Yarrowia lipolytica: one gene and its partner. The protein of the gene in region 2 interacts with the protein of the main gene of each other region in a pairwise test. Links are inferred from orthologs where the notes say so. Each region holds a gene or a part of one and is shown on either strand. Other genes may lie near its edges.

Region 1 (3,392 bases), on a different chromosome or scaffold from region 2:
GTCGTTCCGATCTGGGAGTCGGGATTCCTCCGGAGACCAAGAAGCCGAGCAAATCATCATCCCCGAAGAAGAGGAAACGGTTCTCGCGGTTTTCTGACCTCACAGACGTGGAACGAACGCTTTCCAAGCGCATGTTCTTCACCAAGTGTGGGCATGTCTACTGTGGCCTTTGTGTCCAGTTCATCAAGAGAAGAAGAACTAGTAGACAAAAGAAGGAGGACAAGAGCAACATCAACGTCGATTGCATCACAGATTTCAAAGGGCGATATGTCGACACCCCATTCTCACTGATTGACCACTGTGTTGTTCCAGGATGTAAGGAGAAATTGCCCAGATCGAGAGGCAAGTTTTTCAAGGAGATGTTTACTTAATTTATATGCATTTATTGGCTAGCTACCACGCTAGTCACCAAGACAAGATGGGTTTGTGTAGCTATATAGGGGAGATTTTTTATCGATACCGGTATTGTACCACGACAAAATTGTTTGGCACAGGTGAGTTTAGTTTGTGCGGCTTAGCTCAACGACATCTGCAGCAGAAGCACGTTTGTGAGCCGAGTACTTGAGCATCTCTTGCAGTATGTCTTTACTCTTTTGTGTTCCTCGCAACAGAGACAGTCCATTTCCCTGGGTTTCGGAAAAGTTCATGCTCTCAAAAGCAGGTACACAAGCCACCTCGGGCCATGTTTTCGCGGAGGGTGTGCCCAACTTTTCGAATATGTCAGCCACCAGTCGCAGATCTGACACTCCATCTTGTACCTCGTTGGAGAAGAACGGTTTCCCGTTTCTAGTCAGCAGATATGCTAATATGCATCCTAGGGACCAGATATCGACCTTGTCGTCGTAGCCTCTGATTCCAAACAGCAGTTCTGGGGCTCTCCAGACGCCTGTTCCTACGTCTGTGATTTTTTCGTCTGCTTTTTCTGATCCCCCGTCCTTCCACGACACTCCAAAGTCGATGAGCACCGGCTCCGAGTCCTTGGTTTTGAACATGATATTCTCTGGTTTGATGTCTCTGTGGATGATGCCTTCTTGGTGGATATATTCCAGACCACTTGCGACTGCTGTAATGATTTCGATCGCCTTTTCTTCCGGAAACTTGTTTCTCATGGTGTCCCCCCCAGGCTCAATGAGTGTTGGAAAGATAGCCTTGTGATAACCCTTGGCGAGATCCTCAAGGGTGTATGGGTAGTAGTTGAACACCAGCACCTGTTGTTTTGTGAACACCTGGCCCGAGTCGCCCCACATCTCGTCGTCAGAAGAGTCAAACGGGTCCCTCTCTTCATAGTGGTCCAGCAAGGAGACAATGTTGGGATGATGGCCTTTGACTTCCTGAAGAATAGCTAATTCTCTGGCAAAATTGTGGGGAGGCCGTTGTGCTCCAGGTCGAATGCATTTAAGGGCCCGGTTGTTCTTTTCGTAGACTCTCGAGAACAGACCCCGGCCGATTTCTTTCATTTTAACGAGTGTGGTGCATCCAAGCAAGACGTCGTCTATCATGGCGTGCCATACATACAACCTGCAGTTCGAGCCTTGCGACAATGTGGGACAAAGTTCACAGTATACAGTAAGTTGGCAACAGCCCTCAATAACCCACCACACACTATGGACTTCACCTCGGTAACAGAAAGCTGGGTAGACGGCCAAATTGGTGCGTCTGTCTACGACTACGGCGACAGCGAACCCCTCACAGACGACCTGCGCTCCTCCAAACAAAAGGCTGTCGAAGCAGCATATAGCCTGGGCGACCTGTCTCTCCTCAAACTACTGGCACAGTCAAAGGGCGGTCTGCTCAACTCCAAGCTTCGAAAACAAACCTGGCCATTGCTTTTGAGTGAGGCATCGGTAACAGGAAGCGATCCCCCAGAAGACCCGCACCCTGACGAGACACAAGTGCAACTCGACATCGACCGAAGTTTCGTCTACTATCCGAAGTTTGAGGACGATGAGAAATGCGCCGAAGCCCGTCAGAATCTGTCGAAAGTCATTGTCACGGTGCTCAGACGCAACCCCCAGCTACGGTACTATCAGGGGTACCACGACATTGCCCAGGTAGTGTACCTGGTCATGGAAGACGTGCACCAGTCCATCCAGGTGCTGGAGAAGATCTCGCTCATCTACCTCAGAGACTTTATGCTGCCCTCCATGGGTTACACCCTTGACCACTTGGAATTCATTCCCTCGCTGGTCACAGAGCTTGACTCTCATACTGGCGATCAAATCAAAGAGGTGAGACCGGTGTACGGTATCTCGTCAGTGCTGACCTGGTTTGCCCACGACATTCCCGAATTTGACACCGTCTGTCTCTTGTTTGATTTCATTCTAGCTTCTGGGACCATGGCAACGCCTCTGTTTATTTATGCATCCTTAACGTCTTTAAGATCGGATGAACTCAGCAACCTGGACCCAGAAGACATAGACATCATCAACTGTGTTCTAAACACCTTTCCCAAGACAGAACAGGAAACCGTGTCTCGATGTATCCAAAAAGCCCAGAAACTAGCGTCAAAAACCATGCTGGAAAATTATCCGGCCTGGCATAAACTGTCAAACTACTCTGTATTGAAGACGACAGCTGCGCAATCGCCCCAGGCTGAATCTCCGTCAGAGTCCATTCTGTCGTCTAACAGCATGTCTTCTTCCGCTACAGCACCCTCGCTGATTAGCTCATACCTCTCGTTACAAATTAAGGAGTCCGAAGTGCGGGAGGAAAACGAACGTTTGGCCCGCCAGAAACTCATTGACAAGCGCAACCAGCAGCGGGAACAGAACAAGCTTTCTAAGAAAAACTCGTCGTCGTCCATTTCCATCCGACGTATCTTCTTCTTCTCTCTGTGTATCGGACTCACCAGTGTCATTCTGGCCATATTCATTTCCCCCAAGGACAGCCGGTCGTATCTCACCAGACATTTTGAGGCTGGAATCCAAGGATCCCTCCAGCTCCTACACCGAATTGCTACTGGTCAGCATTCGTTTTAATTTATTGCAATACAGATTCTAGCTACACATCGTTAACACGGTAATTTTATCATGATTATATATATGCTTTTGGCTTGACGCCTTAAAGTACTTCGTGGCCTTGAGCAACGTTGTAGTCACTGGCTCCGGCAACCGAGTCCGAGTAGACATGAGAAGAGCCCTGGGGTCTAAGAGCAGGGGAAGAGTTAGCAGAAAATCCTTGGTGGTTGTAAGAAGGCATGTGAGGATCGCTCATCCACGCGTTCTGGGGAGGCAGTGGCACGTAGCGTCGCTTGTCCATTTCAAAGTCTCTCCATCGCTTCATGACAATCTGAGACGAGTCAAATTCACCATCCTCCTCGTCGTGGCCTCCAGAGCCCTTCTTTTCACCAGCAACCTGTCGAGTGTCACCCCAGGAGAAATCATCAAACTTCC
Region 2 (3,818 bases):
AGAGATAGCGCCCACCTTGTGTTAATGCGTCTTGGACTCGATGTCTCAGCTTGACTATGCGCCATAGAGCTAAGAATTAGGCTGAAGTACAGCTGGTGTGGTACATTCTCAGTCAGGGGTGTTGAAGGTCCCATTGTGGAGCTTTTCAGAGACATTTGTCGACGTGATAGCAAGGTCCAGTTGATCCGACAAGTTCAAAAGGTTGCTTGACTTGGTCCATGACTTCATTCTATCAACTAGCCCGCCCTTGTACAAGTACCTGCTGGCGTGATAATGGACTTGGAAATTGCAGCTGGAACAATCGAGAGAAGGCTGCATTACTGTCTCAAACGTTGTCTTGTGCGCTGTGCAGTTCCCCCATGGAAGGTGCAGTCTCATATACGTTTCATTGTTACAAGTTATGCCGATCGGCTTGTCCAACCTGCATCATGGACAAGCACTAAGACAGTATTAAACCGTGCAGACATGTTTCACCCGCACAGTATCGTCTGCACAGCTGGTATTGCTTGTTTCACAATTGCTTTTTTCCTGTATGACTATCTTATTCCTATGTGCTCGTGTACATACAAGTACCGCGCTTGTACATACTGTAGTTTGACTCTGGTCACTCCTCCTTGTGCACAATCTGGTCCACGTTATCCCGGACCTCCTTGTCCTTGTTCTGCTTCTGCCACTCGGTTGCATCGTAGATCTTTTCCTCCACGGCGAGAATGCCGCATTCATCGAACATTCGCAGCACCTTCTCGGCATCTTCCACCGAGTAGTTGGCCAGAACCTTGTTGATTTCCTCCAGCTTGCCGGACTCGACCGCCTTCTGCATCTCAGGCGACAGCTCGCCAAAAACCTTCATGGCGTCCGCGTCATCCTGGGGCGGCTGGTTCACCACAATCTCCGTGTTGGGGTCGACGGCATGCAGCTGGATCTGCTCATTTTCCTCCTCGCTCTCCTTCTTGAGAATCTCGCACCGCGTCTTGACATGGTTGATGGTGAACGCCACGTCTTTCTTGAGCACCTCGAGAGCGGGGTGGCCCTGAGGTTGCAGGATCCGCTCAAAGAAGTTTCTGTAGCCGTTGGGGCCCAGCTGCGCACAGTACTGCAATAAAATGGCATTGTGAACCGTTCTCTCCATGTCGGCAGTCTTGCCGGCAAGTTGCAGTTGGAACCCCTCCATAACCAGCGCATCCTTCTCCTTCTCGGTGCAAATCTCGGGGTGTTTCGAAACAAACCGGTAGCACTCCTTGAGATCATCAGCGGGAATCTCGGCAAACTTGCGGGCAGCAGGAGACGGATCAGAATAGTCATCATCTGTGTCGTCAGAAGCCTTGGCCAGCGTGCTCTCAACAGGAGCGTCAGAAGAAGTCGACTGTCCAGGACTGTTGAGAGTCTCCATGGTGGTCTCGGTCTTCTTGGGCCGTTCCAGATCGGCCAGATCGTCTTCTCCAGCATCGGGCTCTGCAGTCTTGTTCAAAACTGTAGAGTTGTAGACATCGTGCACGTCCTCGGAGGTGATGTACTTTGCCTTTTCGTCGTAGAGCTCGGCTAGGCGCTCTCGGTGGCTCTTGTCGTGGTCCACCAGCTTGTCTCTATGTTCCTTCAGCTTGTCGTAGAAGGTGGCGCCGTTGTCGGTATCCACGTCGGGTTTGATCATGTCCAGAAGACTCTCCAGCATGTCGTCACAGTTCATCTGCTCCCCTTCTTTCTGGGGATTGGGCGCGGTGGGGGTATCTTTGGCCTTGAGACCCTCTTTGGACTTGACCAGCAGCTCCTCAATGGAGTCTTTGGCCAGCTGCGCCTGAGGCAGACTAAGCAGCTTGTCCAGACGCTCCACCAGCTCCACATCGATCTTCATGGTGAGCTCCAGCGACGCAATCTCCATCTTATTTCGATCTCTCTTCTCATGGATGTCTCGTTGCTTCCATCGGATGAACGATTTCTTGTCCACGTTGGGATGCACCTCCACGTCCGAGTCGTCCGACAGTTCAATCTTGTCCCATTTCGAGTAATCCAGCACCATTCTTGTTTGTGTCTGATGTTGAGATGGGGATCAAGTATACAGTATATATATATGGTTTGCTGTAGGGCAGTGTCACGTGGAGAGGTTTGAGGTAGATGCATAGAAAAAGGGGTACGAGAAAGATAACTGGATAAATGAGCACGTGAGACGGATAATTGAGACTGGAAGATGCGATTTCAAACGAAAAAACCGCTCCTTTCTTATCAATTGCGCCCAATACCACCCCCTTTCCAGGTTCTTCCAGAACACTCTACTTGAACGTTATTGTTACTTGGCCTAATAGTTGACGAGTATGTACTGTACGTAGGCAGCCAGTCTCGTCTCCAGTATTCATATCATATAAATAACATCAACATTTTGGACAGCAATGTTATCATCGCTCTATAGTAATCAAGGGAACACCTCAATGGGCTGACTAACAACGGGCAGGAAAATAGCCGAGAAGAGCAGCAGAGAAATCTCGGGAGCGCCCAAAAGAGGCATCTTCTTGGTCACCTGCTTGCTACGTCGCTGCTGACGTCGTCGAGACCAGATTCCCAGGGCTGCCACGCATATGCCTCCAGTTGCCCAGGTGTAGACTTGTGAGAACTTGGACCATGTGCTGAGCGCATTTTCCAGCTGCTGATCAGAGAGATGGTCAATGAGGCCGGTGGTTCGGCTCCAGAGAAGAGCCAGAGTTCCCAGCGGCTGCAGATTGACGGCAAAGATTGGGTATCCGATGAGAATGAGCGGTGAGTAGTTTTCGTACAGAGTTTCTGCGTCAATGTCGAGTTTTTTGGCCAGACGGGCTTCGGACTTGCTCGCGGTCTCAATGGCGCCCTGCTTGAGTCCGCGGATGGCGTAGATGGCTGTGAAGACGGGGAAAGCGGCCGAGAAGAGCGTGTTGATGGCCACGTTTCCTGTGAGTTGCCAGGTGAATTCTCCACTTGCGGGCATGGTGGTATCTGGAGAAGGGCGACTGGGGGAGGTGATGAGGGAGAGTTTGATTCCAAGAGAGTTGATGGAAGTCAGCCGTGAGTTTGTGGATGTTGATGGGCGGTCATCATGTGAGAAGGTCTTGTTTTTTGTCGTTTATAATCCACCATAGCGCAACTATCACATGTCTGACAAGTCTGAAAAGTCCCTAGTTGGTCCGTAGTTGGCATACCAGTAGAGACCTGCTCACTATGGGCAAATAGGGTTAGCAAGTTAGGGAGATAAGCCGAGCGGCGGGGGTGGGTGGGTGAACAGTAGGGGGGTGTTTGGGGGGGTTGAAAAATACTTAAAATAGAGAAAAATATCCAGTAATATAGAAGAGTCGTTTCCGCGAATTTTGGATATTTTTTCGAAATATAAACCCACCCAGAGGGGTGGTCTAATCGCGTTTCTCTCTCCCCGATAAAGCAACCGATAAAGCACCCCAACATATCCTCCCACCTTCCGAGTTAATTAATTGAATTTCCGACTAGCAGTAGAGCTGTGTGCGACTGACTCCAACAGACCATCCCCACACCAACGACTCTGGTCTATATGGACATTCTGGAATTTGTGCAGTGGGTGGGGGGCGACCTCGGGGTGGCGGCGACCGAAACGCTGGTCTCAGACTCCGCCCAGATCACCCCCACACTCTCGTCTATCACGGCCCAGACAGCCACGGCCACGATTCAGTCTGCCCCTCCGTTTGCCGACACTCTGCAGCAAAACCTCGAGTTCTGGCTCAAGCCCGAGTCCAAGTTCACCATCCACGTGGTCTACATTGTTAGCTCGTACGCGTCAACGTCGGTCATCATGGCCGTCATCATGAACCGAATGTGGGAGTTTGCAC

The links. The genes of interacting proteins can lie anywhere in the genome.
Region 1: the proteins of YALI1_E22126g (region 2) and YALI1_C33353g interact in a two-hybrid assay, tested with the Saccharomyces cerevisiae proteins (2 studies listed by BioGRID). The link is inferred for Yarrowia lipolytica from reciprocal best matches to the Saccharomyces cerevisiae genes CDC37 and CAK1.

Annotation. Positions count from the first base shown.
Region 1 is NC_090772.1:3,333,877-3,337,268, forward strand, and holds YALI1_C33353g (uncharacterized protein), read right to left. Parts: upstream 1,500-3,392; coding exon 501-1,499; downstream 1-500. Other genes in the region: YALI1_C33332g (uncharacterized protein), read left to right, coding at 1-371; YALI1_C33354g (uncharacterized protein), read left to right, coding at 1,605-2,978; YALI1_C33406g (uncharacterized protein), read right to left, coding at 3,061-3,392.
Region 2 is NC_090774.1:2,210,832-2,214,649, reverse strand, and holds YALI1_E22126g (uncharacterized protein), read right to left. Parts: upstream 2,015-3,818; coding exon 605-2,014; downstream 1-604. Other genes in the region: YALI1_E22117g (uncharacterized protein), read right to left, coding at 2,405-2,950; YALI1_E22111g (uncharacterized protein), read left to right, coding at 3,524-3,818. UniProt on the Saccharomyces cerevisiae protein: Co-chaperone that binds to numerous kinases and promotes their interaction with the Hsp90 complex, resulting in stabilization and promotion of their activity.